Drosophila melanogaster: one gene and its partners. The gene in region 2 interacts genetically with the main gene of each other region. Each region holds a gene or a part of one and is shown on either strand. Other genes may lie near its edges.

What was found.
Region 1: of sina (region 2) and eff, a change in one rescues a mutant of the other (synthetic rescue), as found in Drosophila melanogaster (2 studies listed by BioGRID, with this or other methods).
Region 3: of sina (region 2) and ttk, changing one suppresses a phenotype caused by changing the other (phenotypic suppression), as found in Drosophila melanogaster (3 studies listed by BioGRID).
Region 4: of sina (region 2) and msi, changing one enhances a phenotype caused by changing the other (phenotypic enhancement), as found in Drosophila melanogaster (3 studies listed by BioGRID).

Annotation. Positions count from the first base shown.
Region 1 is NT_033777.3:14,737,715-14,743,383, forward strand, and holds the start of eff (effete), read right to left. Parts: upstream 3,606-5,669; 5' UTR 3,293-3,605; intron 3,227-3,292; 5' UTR 2,690-3,226; coding exon 2,666-2,689; intron 1-2,665. Other genes in the region: jvl (javelin-like), read left to right, coding at 4,464-4,877. UniProt on the Drosophila melanogaster protein: Catalyzes the covalent attachment of ubiquitin to other proteins. Mediates the selective degradation of short-lived and abnormal proteins.
Region 2 is NT_037436.4:16,851,213-16,859,343, reverse strand, and holds sina (seven in absentia), read right to left. Parts: upstream 5,594-8,131; 5' UTR 4,819-5,593; intron 3,426-4,818; exon of another isoform or gene 3,360-3,425; intron 3,048-3,359; 5' UTR 2,927-3,047; coding exon 1,982-2,926; 3' UTR 632-1,981; downstream 1-631. Other genes in the region: sinah (sina homologue), read right to left, coding at 1-86; Rh4 (rhodopsin 4), read left to right, coding at 6,105-6,652; Zcchc7 (zinc finger CCHC-type containing 7), read right to left, coding at 7,128-8,131. UniProt on the Drosophila melanogaster protein: E3 ubiquitin-protein ligase that is required for specification of R7 photoreceptor cell fate in the eye by mediating the ubiquitination and subsequent proteasomal degradation of Tramtrack (ttk).
Region 3 is NT_033777.3:31,712,343-31,717,593, reverse strand, and holds the start of ttk (tramtrack), read right to left. Parts: upstream 3,728-5,251; 5' UTR 3,325-3,727; intron 1-3,324. UniProt on the Drosophila melanogaster protein: Binds to a number of sites in the transcriptional regulatory region of ftz. Isoform beta is required to repress inappropriate segmentation gene transcription and repress genes incompatible with development of photoreceptor cell fates.
Region 4 is NT_033777.3:25,514,265-25,519,701, reverse strand, and holds the start of msi (musashi), read right to left. Parts: upstream 3,585-5,437; 5' UTR 3,353-3,584; intron 1,380-3,352; exon of another isoform or gene 1,230-1,379; intron 442-1,229; 5' UTR 80-441; coding exon 1-79.

The DNA of each region.
Region 1 (5,669 bases), on a different chromosome or scaffold from region 2:
GAAATGGGAAATGGTCAAAAGTGCATTTCATGGATATCTGCTTATGTTTTCCGGTAGTCGGTTCTTTTGTTTTGCTCTATGATCCAGCTATATGTACATACATATGTATGTATGTACCACGGTTTTCCGGGTGTGCGTACATTTTATGCTGTGTGGTTGGTATGCAAATGATGTAAATTTTAAATGCAGAATTTAAAAACAGATATGTGGGGATACAAAATAAACATTTTTATGCGAGAGCTTCGTTCGAAGCGAGTGCGAGCGAGAGGGAGAGACGTGAAAAATCAAGTTCGTTGGCCCGGACCACAAATGGCGCTGTCTCCTTCTGCCCCACCCCCCGACCAGTCGCTCCATCCCTGTTGCACTCGCACGCACACAGCTGAGCGGCTCCCCTCCCTCTCTCTTACACTCCGACTCTTCTTCACTTATCACAGCTGCCCCACACACACACACTCCAAACGGGGAGAGAGAATGAGGTGTAAGGTAAACCGGCAAAAAAAAAGAATATATATATAAAAAGAATAATGAAGATGAGCTGCGAAAGAGTAGCGCGACTCAGTGGAGAAGTAAGAGGAGGAGCAGCAGGAGGAGGAAGAATGAAGGAGAGTGAGAAGACTGAGCTTCAGTGTATGCGTGTGTTTGTAACGGCACCACAAAATCAGAGTGGAGCACAACAAAAATAGCCGTCGCGAAAAACACCGTGTTTCTTTGCCCCATCTCACTTACTCATTTTGGGAATTGTACCTGTTGAGCAAAAATAAATTACAAGAAATTGTTACATTTCTTTTTTCGTTGGGAGTCGGAGCGGTTATGACTCATATCAGACGAACAAATGAAGTAAAAACAAACACGCACACTTGTGCACAGCAAGAAAATTCGATAATATTATCAATATTAGACCAGGTGCACTACCAATACAAACTTCTATTTAATTCTTATTCGAATAATTAATATTGTGAACTTTAAGAATTGGTTCAGTAAGACTAAATGCCATATGCATTGGTTCTAAAGCCCATTTCGTTCAGTGTACGGTTCAAGTGAGCTCCGATCGGCGTTTAAGCCGTTCTCTCTCGCTCTTTAACTCTCTTTTTTGGCAAATGAGGCCATCTAGAGAAAAAAGGCTTTTGAAGAATTGACCACAAAAAGGGGGCGTGAGTGATTTTAAGAGTTTACTACAATGTATACTTTTATTTCCGGTTTGCCGCTTGCCATTTCGTTTTCATTTAGGCAGGCATTAAAATGTTATAATGGATAGAAAACTACGAAAAACGAGGAAAACTCAATGGCCATGACGCCGACGCAGGCAGCGCTGCTTTTGTCGAGACAGTCAGCAGACCCCCGCCCCACACATTCAAACACAAATACACACCACGCTCACACATACGCATAGATATGAACAAATTCCGCATTCGCTGCTCATTTTGTATGTAAATTATGCTTAATTATAATTTATAACTAATTATTTGGGGGCCCCCTTTTGGCTGACGGTGTTTTGCAACACTAAGCCCCGCTAGCACTCACACACTTGCGCTCTCTTTGGCTCTGCCCCATTGCGCGAGCGGGACCGAATGAGGCCTCAGCTGTCGCGGGCAAAGGGAATGCGCCAGGGCCAGAGCGAGATGGCATGCAATGGCCATAGCCAAGTGATGGCGAGACTTTGTATTTGCGAGCGTTTTAATGTGTGTGTGTGTGGGGTATGACTATGATAACCGGCTTCAAACGTAAAAAAAGATCCCAATTTGCCAAGTAACATTTCCACAACTTCGAGATATTACTAATGCTTTTGAGGAAGGCTGGGATGACTTTGAAAAAATATCGGGTTGTCAGGGCCTTGAACATTGGGGTGTAAAAAAGCATTTACTGGACAAGGACAAACGACGCGCAGGCACTTTAAAAATAATTATCGAAGCACGCACGCTAGAACCACTCTACCTAAATACATATATAAATATATATGCTTGGGGGCAGCACTATTTCTGAATTATCAGCGCAAAAAGTAGGGTTAGGTTAATTTTATACGCTTCTTGCTTTTGCTCTGTTTTATTTTTTGCTGGATCTTTCTGCGGCGCTGGCAGTGTGTGCGTTTATGTGTGACTGTTGCGAGGCTGAGAGTGTGTGCGAGTGCCGTGTACAGCGTGTATTGGGTAACAGCGCCCGTAGAGCTGCGAAAACTCCGCCGTATAGTTGCATTAATGTAAATGCATCCAGGTGCCCGGCACACACGCACACAAACAATGCACATTTGCATTGCACTTTCACGCACACGCATCGCACACACACTTATCCCACACTCTCGCAAAAGTAACGGAAGCGATGACTGCACTACACGTTGCCTTGCCCACCACACACACACATCCTTATACCTTTTTCACCACCCTCAAAATTTCTAATCTGCTCCTAATTACTAACTTATTAATTAAATGGTAACTCCACAGCTCATTTTCTCCCTTCCCTCTTGCACGCTTCTTTCCCCCCGCTTCTTCTTTCTTCTCCTCGGTTACTACCTACGTTTCACATTTCTTGCATAAAATTTTTCTCCCGTTGAAAACTGATGTCTGTTCGCTTTTTTTTTAGACTATCATTTTGGTGTATCGCAAAGGGTTCTGTTCTTTCTTTTTTTAGTCCGTTTCGCAAAGTTTTTTGAGATATTCCTTTTTTCACATACCTTATTGATTCTTTTTAACGCCATTTTCTGATTGAAATTTGATTTTCTGGGTTGTGTGTGTGTTTGGTTGGTTGTGTGTGTGTTTGGTTGGTTGTGTGCTGGTGTTGGTGTCTCGCGTATTTCTTTTGTTCTTCGCACAGAATTGGGTTTTATTCAATATATAATCCTCCTGCTTAGAATTGAACGAAAAACGAAACACAAAGCTGCGTTGCGCCTCTAGAACTTTGATGCTTAAATATGGCTCTTTCGGTTGAGTGTCCCTTGTCACGAAATAAAGCAGCACCAGCGCACTGCAAGTAAAAACGGCGACCCGACGAAGACTACGGCGACGATTATTTTTTCACAATCAATGCGGGGCCTTTCGACCGTTTGTGCGATAGAGACGACCGTTAGTGAGCTGAGAACGCAACGAAGCACAATCGTTACACCGAAGTGTAAGCCCGAGCGAGAGGAATGGTGTGTCTGTGTCGTGTGGTAGTGTTGTGAAGCGGAAGTCCAGCAGAGCAGTCCAGCTATATGACCTTTTCGCTAGGGGTGGCCAGATCGATTGGGTGGCAACGCCTTTTAGGTGAGGGATGAATCAGTTAATTACAATTTGATTGCCAATGCAAGACTCTTCATACTCACTTTAGTTCGGGAACAGCCAGAAGAAATAGTTTTACCGGCAGCGAGGAGGTGTTATATTTTATTCGAACTACCTTCTTATCGATGGTGCGTGCGCCCAAAAGCTTGCAACTTGTATGTAAATTTGTTAACACCCAACGTGTTGCAGGCTGCCGGAATGTTTTTACTGAGCAATTTTGAGATGTTGGTAATCCGAGTTCTTGAAAACTTTCCGACTAGCTACTGAGTTCTACAACTGAATTGACAGGGCGTTATTTTAAAATTTAAATTCACTCCAGAGCGCTGGTCTGGCAAGGCCGACGTGCCAATTCAGGATACTTGTCGATATTTTCCGTTGTGCTATCGATAGTTTTTGGGAATAACAGGCGTTAGTAGATTTTTAGTATTTAGATTTTATTATCATAAGGATGAAAATATTTTTAACAAAATAAACTGGTTCATTTAATTTAACTTTTTATTTTCTCACTACTCCAAATGGCGCTTCCGCTGTCTGAAACTGCCGTTATAATAGTATGAACAGTTAAAACAATCGACGGTAGCTGAATTTAATCAATGCAGCCCTCTTACCCTATACATCGATAGTATCGCATAAACATCGATTTTGGTTCCAGCTCTAACTTTAACTGTCTGCAAAATATTTCAAACAAAAGTGTTTGTTAATTAAGTAATATACTTAATATTAGTGGCTGTTTTGCTTCGACATTGATCGAATTGCGGTTGTGCAAGTGTTTTGTTTGATTTGTTGGCGTGTTTTTCCTAGTTTGGCGGCCCTTTGAACTCGTTCGTGTATCGCCATCTCTCTCCCACCCCCGCAATCGGCTTCGTGCGTATTTTTTTGTGAATTTTTACACAGAACTCACACTTTTGTATGGCCCAAGAATTTGTACAATATTTTTGCACTTGAAAAACAAGAAATAATGAAGAAAGCCAAGATAAACGCGACGATGTGCAAGTGCTAATCATTCAGTTTTGGCAAGCGCTGAACTTCGCTGACTTCTTGAACAGCAAAAAAGATGGAGGAGGATAATGCCAAGGTCCTAAGTAATAACAACAAGAACAACAGAAACAACAATAAGGGACGCCAGCAGCTGCAGGGACACGCCCACAGCTCCGCCACCGCCCACGCCTCCGTCGATATATTTATATTCGATTTATAGTAGCTGTAGTTGTAGTCATGCCAACAACAAAAACGCAAACACAGACAACAACAACTTGCAGCGAAGAGGAAGAAGCGGCGATAATACGAGAAAATTGCGATACGCCAATGGCGACCCCAGCAAATGCAACAACAGCAAACACAACAACTGCAGCACCCATAACAACAACAACAACAACAGTAAATACGCGCAGACAAGAAGAAGCAGCAGCAGTAGCTTCCACACCTAGTGTTACGAAAACGGCAACAACAACAAACATACTAGCCGCTGCAGCGGGATGCCACAAGCCGTTATTCTTCAGCCGCCGCTTTCAGGACAAACGGAACTTTAGCTCGCTACCGCTCTTCGTCTACGCGACCTCGCCATCAACGCACGCCCACTCAGCGGACGGAGTAGGCGTGGCCAAGGAGGCAGCCGCGTTTTGCCACAAGGTGAGTTTGTTGCACAAAGAACCAGATAAACTTGTAATATTAGGAGAACAAGGAACTTCTATAATTGCCAATCAAATATAATATATCCCCTTTAAGTTATGTATTATAAAATGTAGTATTTTATTTAAACTTTGATAATGCCATTTGTATGTATTTAGATTTAACCCCAAAACAGGAAAAGAAAACCAAAAATAAAGAATTCTGGTTGGAACAGAGAGTTTCCAGTTCGAGGGATTCGTTTGGCATGTCACAGAATTGTAATTGTAATAAAACCCCCATGGGTTTTAATACTCATTTTCTACCTTCCACTCTGCCATCTCTTTTTTTCGAGCAATCGCACCGCTCTTTCCGCTCTAAACTTGCGTAATGGATCACTTCCGCTGCACTTGCAACTTGGGTCGTGTCATATCTGAATATATAATTCCCGCCCAATTCATAGTTTAAACAGTAAGCTCCGCCTAAGAAGAACGCGCTAATAACTCCGTGGTTATACTTAAATGAGTTCTTGATCCAGATTATAAATTTAGATACCTAATATTCAAATAGATATAGCTTTAGAAAAGTTGTAAGTTTAGCATGGTTGGTTGTTTCGTTTGTAGCCACTAACTACTGTATTATATTTATAAACGTTCTGCTTGGCTGCCGCAGTCCGCCTATCTGTTCCTCTCGGAAATCGGTGCATGCAGAATCAGATCTCCATTGGAAATGCGTTTTTAATGTTAATCACGAGCGGCTTTAAAAAAATTGTTTACACTGCGTTTTTTTTGGGCTGTTTGTTTTTTTTTTTATATA
Region 2 (8,131 bases):
CCGGATGCCGTTGGAGTGTCAATAGTCCTTTGCGGACTTACCCGCTCCGGCCACGATAACTGGGGGCGTGAGTTGCGAACAGACATCTGTGCTTCAGCCAACAATCAATGCGCAAGCTATTAATCCTAAGACCTAACAACCAAACGATTCTGAAGAATGAGAGTGCCGATGGTTTTACTTTTTTTTTACTTTTTCTGAACACTGAAATTTTGCTTAAAAGAATTCGAAAATACAATCTGTACCACAATACAACGAAGCTAAAAGTATAATGAGCTACTTTTACTTCGGAGCCTACTTGCTTTAAATCATTTTAAAATCAGCTTAAAAATTTATTTTTGAAATTGGCCTAAGTATCCTAGTAAGATACCAATCCAGCTAAATCTTTAAGATGCTTCGGCGGTGCACCACTAAAAACTTGTGCCATCTATTATTGCAACGTTTTAAAACGCATTAGAAGTAACCCAAGTATCTCAAAGATAATCCAAATTAAACAGATAACTGATTTAAATCGACAAGTTTATAAAGTGGCGTAGCTCTTCTTTGTAATTCAGCTTCCCCCAGATTAATTTCAATAATTAACGAGCATTGTTTACTTTTACTAATCATGTTTATTTCAGTTTTGTAGTTTTGTGTCTGTGTGAGTGATCTCATATGGTAGTGGCGCGGTAAATCGGCGCATTAAAAGCTAATTACGGTGCAGATGCTTAAAATCATTAATTTTTCTTCCGTTTTCGATTGGGAAACGTTGGCCGAATGGAAATCAAAACCAAAACATGAGCCAAACCGGGGAGATCGTCTTAACTAGATAGAAATTTAAACATTAACATTGCTTTATATGTTTGGGGGGACTTGGGGGGAAATGGGAAGGGGCAACTGTCTTTTTAGCATTGCGAAAAAAAATGTTTTCTTTTTTTTTTAGTGTGTTTTTGTTATTTTGTGATGGTTTGGCATGAACAAAATTGCGGGTCGCAGTTTCGTTTAGGCTGCAACTTTCAAACAACTCTCGAGTTATTACAGATTATCGCTATCAAATATTACTTTTCTTTGTGGGTTATTAGGTTTGTTAATTTCGTTAAACTGTTCGTTTTACTTATTACCATTTACAAGTATTGTATAAAATAATTTACATTAACTAAACTAGACTTTGCAGTACATGTTCGAGTGGATGAGTGACCTCCTCGCCTTTCTTGCTGTTCTCCTCGTTTTGGTGAGTGGGTCTGTGTGTTCCTAGCGTTCACTGTAGTAGGTGGTGGGCACGTGGGCACGCGCAGGCAGCTCTGCTCCAGGTGTGTGGACCTTACGAACTAAATTAAACTAAAGCAGAACCCCATGAACTAACAAAACGGGTAACACTGAAACTTTGAAATATATAGTATTGTGTGTGCGGTAACTGAAAAATCATGTCCTAGAACTAGAGTACCAATCGAACCGATTAAACATACAAACATACAGGTCAGCCACGATTTTCGCATTCGACAGGAAAGTGTGTTATACAAATCTGCGAAATCTCACCAAAAATATTTGGCATTTTTCTGCAAACGAGTGAGATTTACACACAGTCATGTGCAAACTAAAAATGAAAATACGAATTTTAAACGCGGTTTTACAGGTTTAACGAACGTGTGCAATAAACACTGAACATCACTTAGCAATTGCTTTAATACGCTTTCCATTTCGCTTTGGAAAATTGTGAGTGTCTTAGCTTAAAAATCAAAGAAAACTGCGATATCGTGCCGAATGTGATAATCGAAGCAGCCTGATATTTCCATAGATATATATACATATGCATGTAAGTGGCTCTTAGAATAGAGAATCATTTTTATAAAACAACTCTGCAAAACTCTTTCTTCTTAATCTCCAGACTCACAATCTGTCCACGAGTTAGACGCCTGATGCGAACAGAGGGCTATAAACTATATATGTATTTGTATCGGAATAGTAAACACAAGAAATGAAAGAACCCGACGAATTGACAGTGCGTTTAGACCAGAGATATGGTCACGTTAATGCCCAGGTTGCCATTGTCGGCGAACAATTGCGCAATCGACGTGTCGAACACCAGGCAGTCCGAGTTGTGAATTGCGGAAGCGACGCCCTCGTGGATCGAACGCGGCATTGCCTCCCAGGTGAGCCGGCGTCGGTTTCCGTTCAACTCCAGGCGATAGACAAAGTTCTCCGCTTCCTTGCGCGACCCGATCAGCTGAACGATGGCAAAGAACTGCTGGTGTCCGTCGTACTTCTCCTGCTTCTCCAGCACGAGCATAAAATGGTGGCCGAAGCAGGACTGCATCATTACCCAATCGACGGCGCCGGGCAGGTTGATGTCGGTGGCCAGGAACACGATGTCCTCGCCCTGCAGCGTTGTGATGCTCTTGTGCGACATCATCAGATGCTGCATGACTAGGTCAAGCGGGCCCTGCCACTTACAGCTGGCGCCCGGGCACGGACACAGGTAGGGCCGGCACTCGCACGTCTCCTCGTGTTCTGTCTTTTCCGTGTAAACCAGCGAGGCGGTGCATCCGTAGCCGGAGTGCTTGCACGGGAACTTGACGTTCGAGGCAACCTTCTCCATCGCCAGGTTGCGGATATTCGCCAGCGGACCGCGGCAGGTGGGGCAGCAGGTGAGCTTGGAGCGACAGGACACGCACACCAGGTGCCCGCTGGAGCACTGCAGGATCGGCGGTAGCACATAGTCAAAGCACACGGGGCATTCAAACAGCGAGGTCAAGTCGGCGGACATGCCCGCATCACCGCCACCGGCGGACGACAGCGAGGAGCTGGACGACGAGGATGTGTTGGCCGAGGACGTGTTGCCGGCACTGGAGGATCCGGTCGAGGTGCTCGTGTTGGTGGCCACTCCCGTGGCACCGGCTCCTGCTGCTGCTGCTGTCGGTTCGCGGCGCTTCGGGTTGATTTTATTGGACATTGGAAGGGTTCTCGCAACGGCACGAATGTGTCTACAATTCTTCTGGGTCCCTGCAATTCTCGCCAGGTTCAGGTTCTTCGCCCTCCCGGTGGCTTCGGCAATGGCTTTCTTGTGCTTCTGTCTAAAATGAGATACAATCACAGGTCAGTGAGTAATGCGGTCAATTTAGTCATAGCATATGTATAATTTTTTTTTCTTTTTTTTGTAATTTTGTTCGTTCAGTGATAAGAAACTCCAAAAAACAATAACCTACAAAACCATACAGATATCTTAACAAAAATAGTTTGTTTCGATTAGGCTTAGTTAATCCAAAAATAACATATATCAACCAACAAAAAAAATCACAGTATAACACACTGCATAAATGCTGGTTTAAATTTGAACATATGTTATGAGCTTTCTATCGATTTTGCGGCTTAAGTTCGGAGCATACTATTGATTTGAATGTTCATTCCAAACTATTGTGCCCACTGGGACATGAGTAATAGGCAAAAATATTTTTCCATGAAGTAATAGAAATGAAATGAATGCAAACTGTGTAAGCAAAATCTACTCGATTGCTATAAAAAATGTTGCCCAGCAAAACTACTATCCATTTGTAATAATTTAATTTGAGCCTTATTAATTTAAAACTTATTTCGCGTAATCACTACTACTAGGTAGTTCGTTTTTCGTGCCGCCCAATAGAAAAGCCAAAGCGATTTATCATTCCTGGCCTTAACCTTGCCGTGGATTCCCAATTGTTGTAATTACCGAAAAAAGAAAACACACGCATTTGCGTGTATGGGAATTGCATTTAAGCAATTACTTAAAGCGGAACGTATCGAACCGGAGTTGGTCTGCGAAAAGCAAAGACACAGCCCGAGGTCGCCGTCACGTCTCCGATCGAAATGAAGGCCCGATTCCGATTCCAACTCCGAGCCCAAGCCCAAAAGCCTCTTGGCGGCACGTGTGGAACGGCGCAAATATGTTGGCTCTTATCAGGCGGAGCTGACGGAGCCGACGCTGATGGACGGCCATTAGGGACGTCGACCCATGGCGGGATTGTGCGATGGTGGGTGTCGTGCTGGTTGTAATGGGTGTGGTTCGGTTTCACGGGTTTGTCCACTTTGGACAGAATGGGCACACATTAGTGTGAACAATATGCTGTGGGTGCTTTGGTGCGTTTATAAGATAAATATCAATATAATAATATAAAGTTTTCGTAATTGTTTAGCTTTGATGTACAAACAAAACTTGTTCTCTTTCCTAACGGGAATATATTTGCTATATGATTGCTATCAAAATTTTGTGTGAAAGGAGTTCAGTAATATTGTTTATATTCGAAAACAAACTCAAACCTAAAAAATAAATAATATGTTTCCTTATTAACCCAAAACAAAAACACATGAAACGCATGAACATACAAATGTTTAATACTTTACCCTATATATTGGAAAAATTATTTGAACATTTGCCATTATGAAATTCGTACCATCGCCCGCATAAACGTAATATCGTAATGAAGAGTGCGTAACGTAACAAATGCAACGAGGATGTGTAGGGGGTGGGTGGCGGTAGGGGATGGCAGCCGCGGGGAGGGAAACTCACACACTTACAACACAGACACAGATCGCACACACATAATTAACAGTTCGTTTACGTTGCGTACCGTTGGAAACGTTCATACGGGGTAAAAATGGTAATTGCCACAAAAGTCATAGCCATGAATATAATTAACTTAGCTTCTGCTTTCATGAGTTGCAAAATGGTAAAATAGAAAACGTAAGTTGCGGAGCAAAGCGAAATGCGACTATCTTTCTTTAATTTATGCCGCCATTAAGTGCGACTAGGCTGCTGTTTAAACAGCAACAACAACTGCGAAATACATAATCGTTGATATGTAAACTTACATGGCAGGCTGCCTCCAAGAAATTGTGCCGAGGTATTGGTGCCCCGCTGCGTTGGTGTGTGTGTGTATGTGTATATTTTATTTTCTTGTTATTTTTTTGTTTCCTTTTTTATCAGTCAGTCAGCCTTTACGGCCATGCACACACACACACGCATACAGCCAGCATGTGTGTGTATATATCCTAGGTGCAAGTTCCGTTTTTTACGTTGCAATTTGTTATTTTTTTAACCGCATATATATATATAACCAATGCAGGTGGTTTTGCTACTGCACACGCACACTGGGAAAATGGAAAAACTGTTTTGATTGCTTTTCGCCTTTTCGTTCACCTTGCACCGAACCGAAACTCGAAATTCAGGCGTGAGCTAATTTCATTTGGCTTTTTATCTAATTTTCTTTAACGCGACCCGCACACATACACATTTATTCATATTTAGCTTTACTAGTTATTTTCGCCTTTTCTGCCTCTGTGTTGCTGCTGCTGCTGATGTTGTGTTGTTGTTGTTGCTGCACAAAAATAAACCATTTGCATTTACACACAGGCAGCGAAATGGGTTTTTTTCGTGTGTCTCACTTTTTCTATATTGCGTTCTTTGATCGTCGCAGTCGGCGTTTATTGCACTTGCCCTTGCGCGGTGTGGAATTCAGTCTTTTTCGGCATTCTCCATGTACTTTGGGCGTGATGTCTGCCTTTAGCTGGTTAATTAATTAATTTACTTTACTATACTGAGTTTCTTCTAATGTCCGCGTCGGTTGCAGAGATGGAACCCCAATTGTCGTCTATTCGATTCCAGATAGTCGATTACACGCAATCGGCAACATCGCAGTGCCTCCTGGTAGCTATCAATTGCTGTCATCGATTACTTAACAGCCTTGCCACGTTTGTCAAATTAATTTAATAACAGGAAAACATCAGTTTTGAAATAATACAAATCGAATCAGGCGCATAATTTTTAAAGGATCAAAGTTAATAATGTAGTCTGTTACTCTTATTGACAACTAAAGCCTAATTTTTAAAATAATTCATTAATAAATACTTTTTTATGATTTATAGTATTTCCAATCAAATAATATAGGCAATACAAAAAATTAAATAAAAATATTGATTGGTGATACCTTGACCTTGTGTCACATCATTGGCGGGAATGTTTAAGAACTTAGTTTGGATCGGGAAATTCGAAGAAACAAATTTACGAAAGAGTAAAATTGCGTTTTACGAATATGAAGTAAATAAATATCCTAATACCAAAAATCCCATTAATCTTCTTCACTTTTATGCATTTCCAGAGGGCTACCTCACGTCCTGCTCCTTCGACTATCTTTCGGACAACTTTGACACCCGGTTGTTTGTGGGCACCATCTTCTTTTTCAGCTTCGTGTGTCCCACGCTGATGATCCTTTACTACTACTCGCAGATCGTGGGCCATGTCTTCAGCCACGAAAAGGCCCTACGGGAGCAGGCCAAGAAAATGAACGTGGAGTCGCTGCGCTCCAATGTGGACAAGAGCAAGGAGACGGCGGAGATACGGATTGCGAAGGCGGCTATCACCATCTGCTTCCTGTTCTTCGTGTCGTGGACGCCCTACGGCGTAATGTCGCTGATCGGGGCATTCGGGGATAAGAGTCTGCTTACACCAGGAGCCACGATGATCCCGGCCTGCACCTGCAAACTGGTGGCGTGCATAGACCCATTCGTCTATGCCATAAGTCACCCCAGATACCGCTTGGAGCTGCAGAAGCGCTGTCCCTGGCTGGGAGTCAACGAAAAGTCTGGGGAGATCTCTTCGGCGCAGTCCACGACCACCCAGGAGCAGCAACAGACTACCGCTGCATAGAACCAAGGACAACTCTACTCTAAGACAACTGACCATGTAACATGAAAGCCAAGGAAAAAGTATAAAATGCCGACAACGAAACTGTATAACATTAATTTTATAATTTGTAGTGTGACATTCTTGAGTTTGAAATAAATAAATAGTAACTTATTGCAAACGAAGTAGAAAATGAGTCCCGTTTTTTATTTGAAATTCGGTTCTTTGATGTCATTATTTTGTTACTATTTCTACACTTACACTTAAAAATTAAATAACAAATTCAACTCAAATCCTAAACACATTTACACAGTTATTTGGAGCCTCTTCATTCCTAATAAAATCATAAAATCGAGTTTTTTTTTCAAAATAGTCAGTTATGTATTTATTCGGTTTTTGGGTAATATCTTTAAGATACCCATTGTGAAATCTGTTGGCATTTGTTAAACAAAATGAAGGTGACCCACCAGGAAATAAATTCCATGACCCTGGCTAATCCTCAGTTGCACATCAGGGAATGCAGTCGAATGACCGCTCGGTAATCGTTGTGCGACAGCAGACCACGCTGCGATCGCTGTAGCACTCGTTTCAGCCGCTCTACGGTCTCTGTGTTGGAGGTCATCTTGAAAAGATCATCGAGGTACTTTAGCGATTCGCGTGACCAGAACATGGACGGTTTGTTGGCGTCCTTGTTGATGCTGCCAGGTTGATTGTGATCCATTTCACTCAACAGACGGTCACACTCCGGATTGAGAGTATGGCGCAGCTGAAGATCGGATCGTGATCGTTGCTGGAGATTATTGTAGGGCATCTGGTCGATCTGTGGACGTCGTAGATTCTGCTGATATTGGTTGTTGTCTTGCTGCTGATGCTGCTGCTGTTGTTGCATACGTTGCTGTTGCACACGTTGTTGCTGGTGTTGCTGTTGTAGACTTTGCTGCTGTTGCTTTTGCTGCTGCTGCAAGCGTTGCTGTTGGTTTTGATGTTGCTGCTGCAGACGTTGCTGTTGCTGTTGCTGCTGCCGTTGTTGATTTTGTGTTTGCTGATCCAGGGCTTGACGTTGCTTCTTCTTTGACATTTTAGGAGGTGGTGGTGGAGCCATGTCCTGCCGAACTGGTGGGAGAGGCGTTGGCGATGGTGGCCCCTTACTAGGCGATTGCGGCTGACTCTGCGTTTTCTTTTGTTGCAGTCCCAACAGCACAGGATCTATGTGCAACGAGGGCAAGCGATTCTTTTGATCCAAACGTCCATAGCTGTTTAGCAGAGAGTCGTAATTCGGATGCGGATATGACGAGAAGATCATTCGCCAATGCTCCTCGATCTCATTGCGCAACTGTGGCGTGGCGTGTTCATCTGGCGAGAAGTCATCGATCAGGCGACGCAATAAGACTAGCAACTGATCGAGATGTGTTTTGCCATTCAGGAGTCCCGCCTGGCCGACGAGGATCATGTTAAGCTGGCGGCGCTTTTTTTCTGCCATCTTAAAACCGTTTTTGGTGTTCA
Region 3 (5,251 bases), on a different chromosome or scaffold from region 2:
AGTGGGGCATATGCGATGATTTTGGGTAAAAAGGATTTTTGAGGATTTGGCATAATAGTTATGATAAATCTCAGTACTTCTTGGACGCTTATATGTCATATTATCGTTTTGAGCTCAACATGGAATTTCAACGGAATTTCTGTAAGGACTGTCAGGAATGTATATTTGTTTTGAGCTACAACCTTCAAGATTGATTGTAAGTCCAATTATGAAAACAAAAAGGGCAATGTGGAATTTGAACACAGCTCCACTGTGCCCGCCTTGTATCCCCAACCTCCGGTTGTCCCACACACGGACAAACGGAACGGACACCGTCCCCTGGCAAAGCTTAAGGGTAGCAGAGGCGTTGGCAGCGCTGCTTTCAATTACATTTCATTTGCATTTCGTAGTGTGCTGTCTACCTCTGTGTGTTTATTTCTTTTCGCTGATGTTGCCTTTTCCCGCACAAACACAGCGGCGTACTATAAGTTCGCAGCCTTAAGTCAAATGCCTGGCCATCCGCTCTCCTTTTTGAAATTCGCTTTTGTGGCTGCCATTCGTTGAAGAATGCAAAATAGGAAACGGCTGGCAGATGAACACATCCACCGCCGATTGTGTGGGTGAGTGATTTTTGAGTTCTTCAGTTTTTCAGGCACCACAGGGCGTATACTTGACGCGGACATTGAGCTGCGCCGGCAGCGGCGTCGACGTCGTTAATTGAATTATAGTGCATGCGTATGTATGCTTGTAAGGCCTGCAAAAGGCTTAAAACGGTAAAAAAAATATTTAATTTCAGCCAGCAGGCGGAAATTGTGAAATAAGCCTAACTACGTGTTTGGGGTCCGGAAATTACTAGAAATCCTTAAGAAATAACATTAGGTTTTATTTGGTAATTGTTCTTTAAATTTATTATGAATCTTTGATATCCATGTAAGTAAAAATTTATGATCTTTGGGCAACTGTAACTATATCTGGAGGGTTACCACTGCTGCCTTCTGGTTTCCGTCTTTTGCTTAGCTTTTTTCGGCCCATTCTCTTTTCGCGAAGATTTCTGCCTGAGTTACAAAACATATTTTGGTCACTGACCTTTTCTGTTTCTTGTATTTTTCGTTGATTCCTCATTTTTTTGCTGACTTTTGAGCGTTTTTTGTTTGTGTTCCACTTTTGAATTTAGGTTTTTGCAGTAGTCGGAGTTTTTGTGCAGATTGCTAATTAAAAAAGGAGATATATGGGGTACACGCGCGACTTGTATGCTATCAGGATGGGCAATCGGGGCAGCAGAACCCCGAAAGCGAAATACCTGGCGTTCTCCGCGAAGGTGATTCAAATCAGAAATGCATTCAAGAAAAATTTCATTTACTTGTAATGCCACAAGCCCCAGAATATGAAAAGGAGTATCGTGTGGATGAAAAGGTATACCACATGAATATACACGGGGAAACCGCGCACAACAGACATTTATTTAGCATGGCAGCTGGCACTTGCGAATGAAATAAATAAATATAAAATCATTTTAAATAACAATAATCAAGGAATGTATTGTGCAAATTTGGTTCCGAATAATTGTTGAATACGAAAAAGGGGCAGGAAATCGGCGCAAGATGGCAGATACATTTAAGTAGAATTTGTGAAAGAGTCACGTGCACTAAACCAATGCACCGGAAAAATTTCCTGTATTATTTCAATCATTATTTGTTAAAAATGTTTTAACATTTCTTGCCCTGTGTACTTAAGGGAGAGTGAGAGAAGAATAGATAAGAGAGTTCTGCCTTTTCCTATCCCCCGCTGATATTGCGTATACGCCGCTTGGACTTTTACTGTTTCGACTTTTTATGGGTTTCTACGAGCGAAAACAACAATGCATATGTTCAGATCGCGTTTGCGTTGTTAGTCATGTCATCCTCTTTCTCTTTTCCCTCTTTCATTGCTGCTTTAACCGTTTCGATCGCCGGCTAAACAACAGTTATAATTCGAGCATAATGTTAAGTGAGCGCAAGGTGTTCACAAGTGTCTTTGTGTGTGTGGGGCAAACAAACAGAAAAGCTTTCGCGGAGAGCGGGAAATATATAGTAAAGAGCGCATAGTGCTGCTCTTGTCGTTTCATTAACAAAACAACCGCAAAATTTATGTGTGATCTGAGACTGGGCATTCGTTTCCTTTTCGCCCCAATACAAAGTATAATTCACGATTTTTGTTGTTGCTGCCACTGTGTGAAGTGGGTTAGCGAATTAAAAACAACGACAGAAGTAACAAATAAACATAACATACAAAGACAAATGCAGATCGGAGACGAAGATTGTGTTTTTTGGGCTGTGATCTTGATTTGCATAATTGAATTTGTGGCTTAGCGTGGAGCACAGGTGCAAGTGTAGAGTTGCCCCTTGGCCAGGGTTGTCAGGTTTCCTTCCTCCCAAGAATAGTAACCAACGTATAGAGTTGTAGCTCACTTTAGTTATTGCGATTAAATAAACGTAAAGCCGAGTTACACAATCAATACATTGAGTCCAAATAATTTGTGCAGTGCAAACATGTTGCGTACATGGATTACTCATTCACACATTCACTCCATTGGTTCATTCAGAAAAACACCGCAAGTGTTGCAGCCACTGGAAGCCACCAGAAGGCACTGGAACTGGAAGAGTGATCAAAAGGGGTGCGCCGGGCGAATGACGACTGGATGTGGAAGTGGGGGATAAAAAAGGAAATGGGCAACTGCAAATGACAGAGATCACTGAAGCACGACCGACAAATAAGCGGCGGACGAATCTATGTATCTAGTATCTGGTATCTAGTGTGGCGGCATTACTCCCCATGTGCCGTATACGGCATGTGTGCATTTGTATCTGTGGCTGTACCACTATCTGTATAAGTTGGATACAAAAGCGTCTTTCCAATAGGCGTGTGTTGGTGCATGTACTGAGCGTGTGAGCGGGAAATTGTTAGAAGAAAATGTATCTGCTAGGCTTTTAAGACTGCTAGATTTCCAAAACGACCCTTGGCCAATTTGTCAGGCTTTTATTGCTATAATTCTGTAATCCAAAAGCTATTAACTGCTGATTTTGTCATCAATTGTTTTCGACTCCTGCGATGTCCTGTTTAAAGTGATTAGATTCTAATCCAAAAATATAATTCAGTGAACATTCAAATCTTTAAAAAAATCACTACGGACTCCAGAAACAAAAGCCAGTTAAAGAACTTTTGAATCTTAATCAATAAAATCCTCATCTGAGATTCAAGATAAGTCTTAAGAAGGTAATAAGAATACTTAAACTTGTCGTTTAAATTTGAACACTTGATGATTTGACCTTTTTCGAAGACTATTTCGTGGATAATCTCACCACTTACCAATTTTACAAATATTCTTGGTAATCCGTTTTGCGGTTTCTTCGGCGGAAGAAGGCTTGCAACACTCGAAAGTACTTGTTGTTGTTTCTGTTTCTTCTCTTGTTGTTGGTTACACGTAATTGGCAACCGAGGCGAACACGGAGCCGAAAGCGGGTTGCGAAAAGGCAAAAGGCAAAGAAATCAGCTGAGGAAACGCCGCGCACGAACCTCCAATCAGAACTGAAACGGCAGGGATGTCGACGTCGACGCAGAAGCCATTTTACCGCATTTGTTGTCCCTGAGCTGAGCCCCAAAACCGAGAGAGAGAGAGAGGCAGAACGAGCACCACAGAGAGCCGCTAAGGTGGATACACAAAGCCGAGCCGAAGCCTTACCGAAAGCTTTGATCACACGGCACGAACTGAGCTGGGAATAGCATGGAATATGGGAGTATGGGAATTGGTAGTGGTAGTGGGCGGTATTTGTAGTGCTCCCGTTTCACATTGCTCTCCCGCTCGCAGGGCACCAAAAACGCAAGTGGATGTGGACGGATGAGCGGACGAAATGGAATGGCAAGAATCGAACATTTGAATGGGGCTCCAAATGGTTAAGAGAACAGCGCAGCCGCTGCTGGCAGCGAGAGCGAGGGAGAGCGCAGTCCCAACTTGACATTTCCATTTCGCCGCTGCGTTGGCGCTCTGCCCTTATGCTCTTTCTTCTCGCGCTCTCCCGCTGATAAGCTGGTGTTGAAAACAAGTCTCCTGCGCTCTCGCTCTCTCTCACCGCCGTGACCTGCTGCTCCACCTCTGCGCCCACCACCCCTTCGCTTCTCTGCTGCATCAGCGTATTACGAAATATGACAACAATGCAGTTTGGTCGTCCTCGTTTTCATTCTGCCGACACAGCGGCTGCTTCTTCTTCAGTCCCATCTTCACCTCTCTGCTTGTGCCTGCTCAGCATAAATGCCATCTCTCCGCTCTCTTTGGGAACACCGGAGTATGGAAGAGTGTGAGAGAGGGGGGGGGGGAGAGAGAGGAGAAAGAGAGAGTGGGTGGCTGGTGCTTGTTTGTTATTTTCTCCGCGCTGCACTTGCAAATTGATTGTATTTTAATGAAGTTCTGGTGCCCGCTAAAAATAGTCAACTCTCTATTCAAAGGGGAGGATCGTCGCCGAGGGGCGTGGTGCGGGAATTTCTATCTGGGCGCATTCCAAGTGCAGCAATATATCGGCAGTAACTAATTCCAAATGCCAGCTATTACGACAAACTGGTTTGATCGGAAAAGCGTGCCTCGTATGCTCGACTCTCTTATTCGCTCAACCTCCCACCGACTGCCCCGCCCCCCAGCGCCCCTTTCGAGAACGCTCGCGCACACTTCTAACTGAAACCGAAATGATTCCATGTTTTCCCCGCTGCACCGACTTTAAGTTGAATAATTGTTGCTGGGGTTGCCCTGCACTGAGAGAATTGTTTGCAACGTAATTGTTTCTTTACGTTTTAGAAAATATCGCTACCTTAGATAATATAAACTTTATACACTAGTTTTGCTGTGCACGATGGCACACGTAACCCACTGGTCAACTGCCTGATGGGTCTTGGGAGCGTGTCGCTTTTTGGGTAACCCCCGGGACGGGGCGTTACCTGATCCGATCCCAAGGGGGGCTGGTCGTTATTAGGGCCCATTTGAAGGATCATTAGGCATGCATGGGAAAGACCGTCAATCAATGCGTGTTCTTGGGAAACGGCAACAGTTCCCCGCATCTAAGATTATATATCTGGCATAGATATGGGAGTTCTTTGACTTTGGCACCGCTGATAGTGGAAAAGGATTGAGGGACCAGACTTGGGCGACAGATAAGACATGTCTAGGAAGGCCGTTATCTCTCTCTTTATACGCTGATAATGGAAGCCTTAATCGCTTTCTTTAAGTACAATCGGTTAGTTAGGTTTG
Region 4 (5,437 bases), on a different chromosome or scaffold from region 2:
CCGCCGCCGCCTGCAGGGGCGGGGGCACGTTGTACGGAAAGGGCAACTTGGCCGCAACCGCCGGATTCTCGAACAGCATTCTCGCACTGTTTTGGGGGTGGTGCTGAGCCTGGTGGTGCTGAATCTGGAGGTGGGTGCTGCTGCCGCCGGGGGGGTTGATGGTGTTGTTGTTGGTGCTTATGTTGAGAGCGGAGTTTCCAAAGCAGTAAATTTTGCTGGTTTTTCGCTTATCCCAAAGACACACGCTGAGAAAATCACTTTAGGTCGCACCAAATACTTTGTTTTTCTTGAGATTTTTTTCTTTTTGCACTTTTCTGTTGACTTTTTGCAACTATTTTGTTAAATATTATGTATTTTATAACCGCACTGAATTATTTTTGTTTTTCTTAGGTAATACTCATTTTAATACCACCAATATTAGATGGCAAGGTTTCAGATTTTCTAGAAAAAAAATTAAGTATTATTAAACTATTGTTATAACATGTTTTATGGATTTTTTCTAAGAATGCATTATGTTATTTTATTAGTAAAAGTATATAGTCATGCAACTTTTTAATGTTTACATTAAATGTATTTGTCAATATTTGTGTTTTCATTGATATTTGTATCTGAAGCGCTTTTCCATTTCCCATAACATTGATTTGCATTATTGTTTATTAATTTTAACAATTTTTTTTGGCTTTCTGGGTTTTCTTTGGCATTTCTTTGTTTTGGCTTTACGCTTTTACTTTCGCTGTTTGGCATTCGCTTTTGCCTTTTGCTTCTCGCCTTTCAATGCTGAATTCTGAATTCTCTTTTGCCATTGCCGGCTTTTTCGACACATACACACACGCCACTGCACACACACACACACTAACACTCAAGAACTCACACACGTGCGTGCCGCTCTCAAAATGGTGATAAAATATTGTTGTTTTTGCCGTTGCGGTTTGATAATATTTCACACACGGCTTTTAATTAAAAACATTTGAGTCTTGGATCGCTTGCATAGTTTTTGTATAGTTCGCTGCCGGTTTTCGTATTAATTTTTCATAAATTTAATCGATTTGCTTGAACAAAAACACATGCACACGCATACAGAAACATAAATTCATGGCATAAAAACAAATTTCTGCGACGTCATTGAATTCGCCGCAAAAGAATATGCGAATATGTGAAAGAGAAATAAAAAACCAAAGAAGCGTCCCTCGACAAAAGAAACAAAAATGTCTTCGAGTTGAGTCACTTACACGCACACACACCAGTACGTTATACACACACTCACACACACTCGCTGGTGCAAATAAACGACGCGTGACGAAAATTACACGGGAAATATTCGCAAAAATCCACGAAATTCGACAATCCTTCCGCTTCGGGCAAGGAATTTTTTTTAACTAACGGTGAAGGAGCGGCTGCGAACTGTTTAAGGCGAGCTCAGCGAATTTCGCCGTGCTGCGCTGAAGCTCTGCCGCTCTCCCTCTCCGCTCGCTCTCCACGCTCTCTCTCTGGATTTTGGGACTCTCTCTGCAGGACGTGAATACTGAGCAGAAAAAGGAGCAACAAAAAAAGCTTGGATGCAACATGCGGCTGAGTCAGTTAATGACGTACCAACCTTTTTTTTTCTCCCCCCTTTTGTGTGTCTTTTATCGCGCCTCTACCGTCATCAAGCTGGTACTCCCCCCATAATCATTTCCGATATGCAGTTCCATGCAGTTTCCCCAGACAATAGGCCTACAATATAGCCATATAGTCGCATATAGCCAGCACACTGAGTCGCCGAACGAGCGTCTTTATAGCCCGCTTTGTTCTCCCCCCAATTTAAAGTGAGCTCTGGAATAGTGGAACACCCTCAACGATAACTCCATTATCTATCCTTCAAACATGGAAATGTTGAAGGTTTTTTAAGCAACTTTGCAGATTTTCATAAAATACGTATTCTTATAAACGTCGAAAAATATGATAAAAAAAAAACAATTAAGAGCTTACTTTGTAGCATGTATGCAACTAAATTCAGTATTTCCAAGTAATTGTTATTTATAGGCTCTAACTTACTGTCATTAAAGTGTAAAGAACAGAAACTATTTTATTTATATTTCGAAAAAAAAACCATGACTTATTTTTGAGCTGTCGTTTTAAACAATTTGCACTTTACTTTATTGGGAAAATCCTAAAATATATTTGTGGGTTACAAAATTGGAGCACTGACTGTACTTGACTTTCTGTGTTTATCTTATATTGTTTGCTCAGCTCGTATTTCTTTTAAAGCTCAGCTCGCAGCTGACGCATTTTGTTGATTTTGAATGCTTAAAACTGAGAAACAAAGAGTAATTGTTTAATTCAGTTGAAGGGAAGGATTGCCAGCTATTTCGCTTTGATTTATGTGAAATTTACAAATCAAATTTATTTCGGTTGGAAAGTGTTCAGTTATCGTATCTGTTGTTTAAGCTTAATTAATTTAATTGTCACATATTCCATGGGATTTTGAACTGTACACGGGCTTATGCGTGTTTATTTCTTTTAAATAACGACAATTTGTTAAATTGTAGTAAAATATTTCATTATCGTTAGTTCCCTAGAGCCATTTCTGATTTTCTTCAAATCTTAGGTCTCCTTTCAGTTCTTATCGTACACAACTCGTTGAGAAATACACAAAACTGAAACGCAAAATTGTTGTTGTTGATAAAACTGAGCTAGTCACCGACAACAACCACAGTAAACATTAACCACAGCTTGTAGTTTGATAATGGATTTTTCTGTTTTAAAAATTGATGGTTTTCTCCAGTGCACAAATGTTCACCAATCTCGAATCGAAATTTGATATAAATTTAATCCATTTGAATTGAATTTTGTATCAATTTATTAGTAAAGCACTTATTTAATTACACATGTTTTATTTAGTCAAATTACTGGGCTTTTTATCTCGAGCTGAGAGTTCATTGTTTTATATTATTTATACACACATATCTTGAACTCGTCTTTTGTATGGATTATCGGTCTCTTAGTCATAGCGAATTAAATTGCTTTATGTTTTGGCATTCATTAGTTAAACATATCATTAGTTAATAAACCATGAAAGTTGATTTTAGATTTAATGATAAATTTTGTTTATAATCTTAATAGCCATGAAATACATATTTTATTTAGCCGCTCAAGTCATTGATTTGAATAAAGCTTGATGGGTTGTGCATGCATGTGTAGAGAGATTTCGAATCGTATTTTTAATTAATTTGCATGCACTGGCATCCGTTTTATGGATGCGGTTTGTTCATTTAGCTTAACAATTTAACACGTAATTTAATTCAGTCATGCAACATGTCAGAAACAGATTTTCTTATTATTGTATTTTCTAGGGGCGACAAATAGGAATTACTTTAAATGCGCGGCAAACAAAATTCAAGCTTTGTTTGTTTGTTTATTTTCCATTAGCCCACTTCGGTTTCGATTTCGATTTTCGGCCCAGTCCAGAATCAAGTTAAGACCTGGCTTTATCTGCATGCACAAACGGAAATCAACGACAAAACGACGACGACACGATGAAAACGAATCCACGAATCGCTCCGCTTCGAATCAACTGGCTGTTGTAACGGTCGCAGGCAAACTGAGTCCGAAAGATACAGATACAAGTACAAGCGGCCCCCGCGGAAAAGTTCTCTCACCGCCTCTCGCTTTTTATACCTCTTCCTCTCTTTGTCGATCTATCTCTCTCGGTTGTTTGTCGTTTGCGGCAAGCATAATAAAATAAAACAAGTGGTCGAGTTTTCCAACTTGCAGATACCCGGTTTTTAGATACAATAAGTTTTAGATACACTAAGCTTAACTTCCCAATGATAAATATAATTTAAAAAATTACTTTAGGAATTTTATTTAAAAAATAGATATAATATAAAATATATTTTAAAATAATACTCTGCAAACGCAATATACTCTGGGAATTTCTGAAGTACAGGGTAATCCAAAAGGAGAGCGGAATCGTTCTCTCTCTTGCGATGCGATGGCAACAACCACCCACAACATAAGCGGTTCACTCGCCCCCACCACACCACCAGCGAAGGAACAAAAACAAGCAAACTCTCTCTCCCATAAACTGAGAGCGCGTTGTTGTTTGCGGCGAAGTCGCTCAAAAAACGCCATTTGGGGAGACAGCAACAACTTTTGGGACTCATACTGTTGTCCCGTTCGCACTCGAGCGCTCTCTAACTTCCGGTCCCGTATGCTGCGACGTAGTGTTGTTGCTGTGGCTTTTTCAGTGGGGAAATGAAAATGAGCATCATTTGGTATTTACTTGGTATTTTTCGGTACTTTAAAATTGTTGCTTAAGTGCAATAAAAAATTTAATTTAATTAATTTGAAGGAAATGCTTGTAATATTGTAATTTTTATTTAACACACACTTTATTATTATTTTACCTTTACCATTTTTATATGATTGTTAAACAACGACTTAATCCCAGTTTATAGCTTATTTTATAGCGTTTTTGTCGCCTGTTGCACCCACCGCAATTACCAAATGTCGGCACGCCCCCGCAAAATTCAAAATTTACACAAATTTTTTGCAAAATCGCAGACGGGCGCTCCCAAATCAGAAGAAAAAAATCTAAAACAATAATTTCAGCGGCTTATTAGACGGCCTAAAAACATCAAAGGCCTACCCATTCCTAAGCAAGATTTCATGAAATTTGCTCCTTTTTTTATTTTCTTTATAATTCACAACAAAACGCGCAACAAGCGCAACGAGTTTTCTGCAATCGAGCAGCTGACGGCGAAAAAGAGTTTTTTTCTGTAATATATTTTCCCTTATTTTGTTTGGTCCATTTTTTCATGTTGGTTCCTTTTTTGTCGGGACACAAGAAACTTGTTTGCAGAGCTTCGGGCGATAAAGAAGGAGAAATATATAACAATAGCAACAGCAACAACAGTGACTGAGGCAGACAGGTCAAAGGAGCAGTTTTTGCCCCTGCCACGCCTCCATTTCGTCTACATCTTAACCGCCCACCGCCTGCCACGCCCCCGCCGAAGCAGCAATAAATTCTGCCAGAAAGCGTCTTCGATTAGTTCGGAAATGGCGAGAGAAGTGACTGAAACGAATAAAAAGAAAATGTTCTTAGAAAAAGTCGTCATACGTCTTCTGGACTAAGAGATACCTCTTAATTCATTATAAAAGATTTTAGAATAAGTTATTGGAATTTAGAATTAAAAACAATTATACAACAATTATAACAACTGAAATATTTTAATACCATACATTTTAGATTATTGACAGTTACCACACTTTTTAATAGATGTAGATTGCCCAAAGACCCCAAGATCCATTCAGGAATACAGGACAACAGGACAAAATAAGCCATTGATCTATATCAATGGCAATATCTAGTCTGCAACTGATGTTCCCAGAGTTTATTACCGCTCAAAGGTAGAAATTTATAGCAAACTGCGCATTCAGCAAATTTGGGTCATAA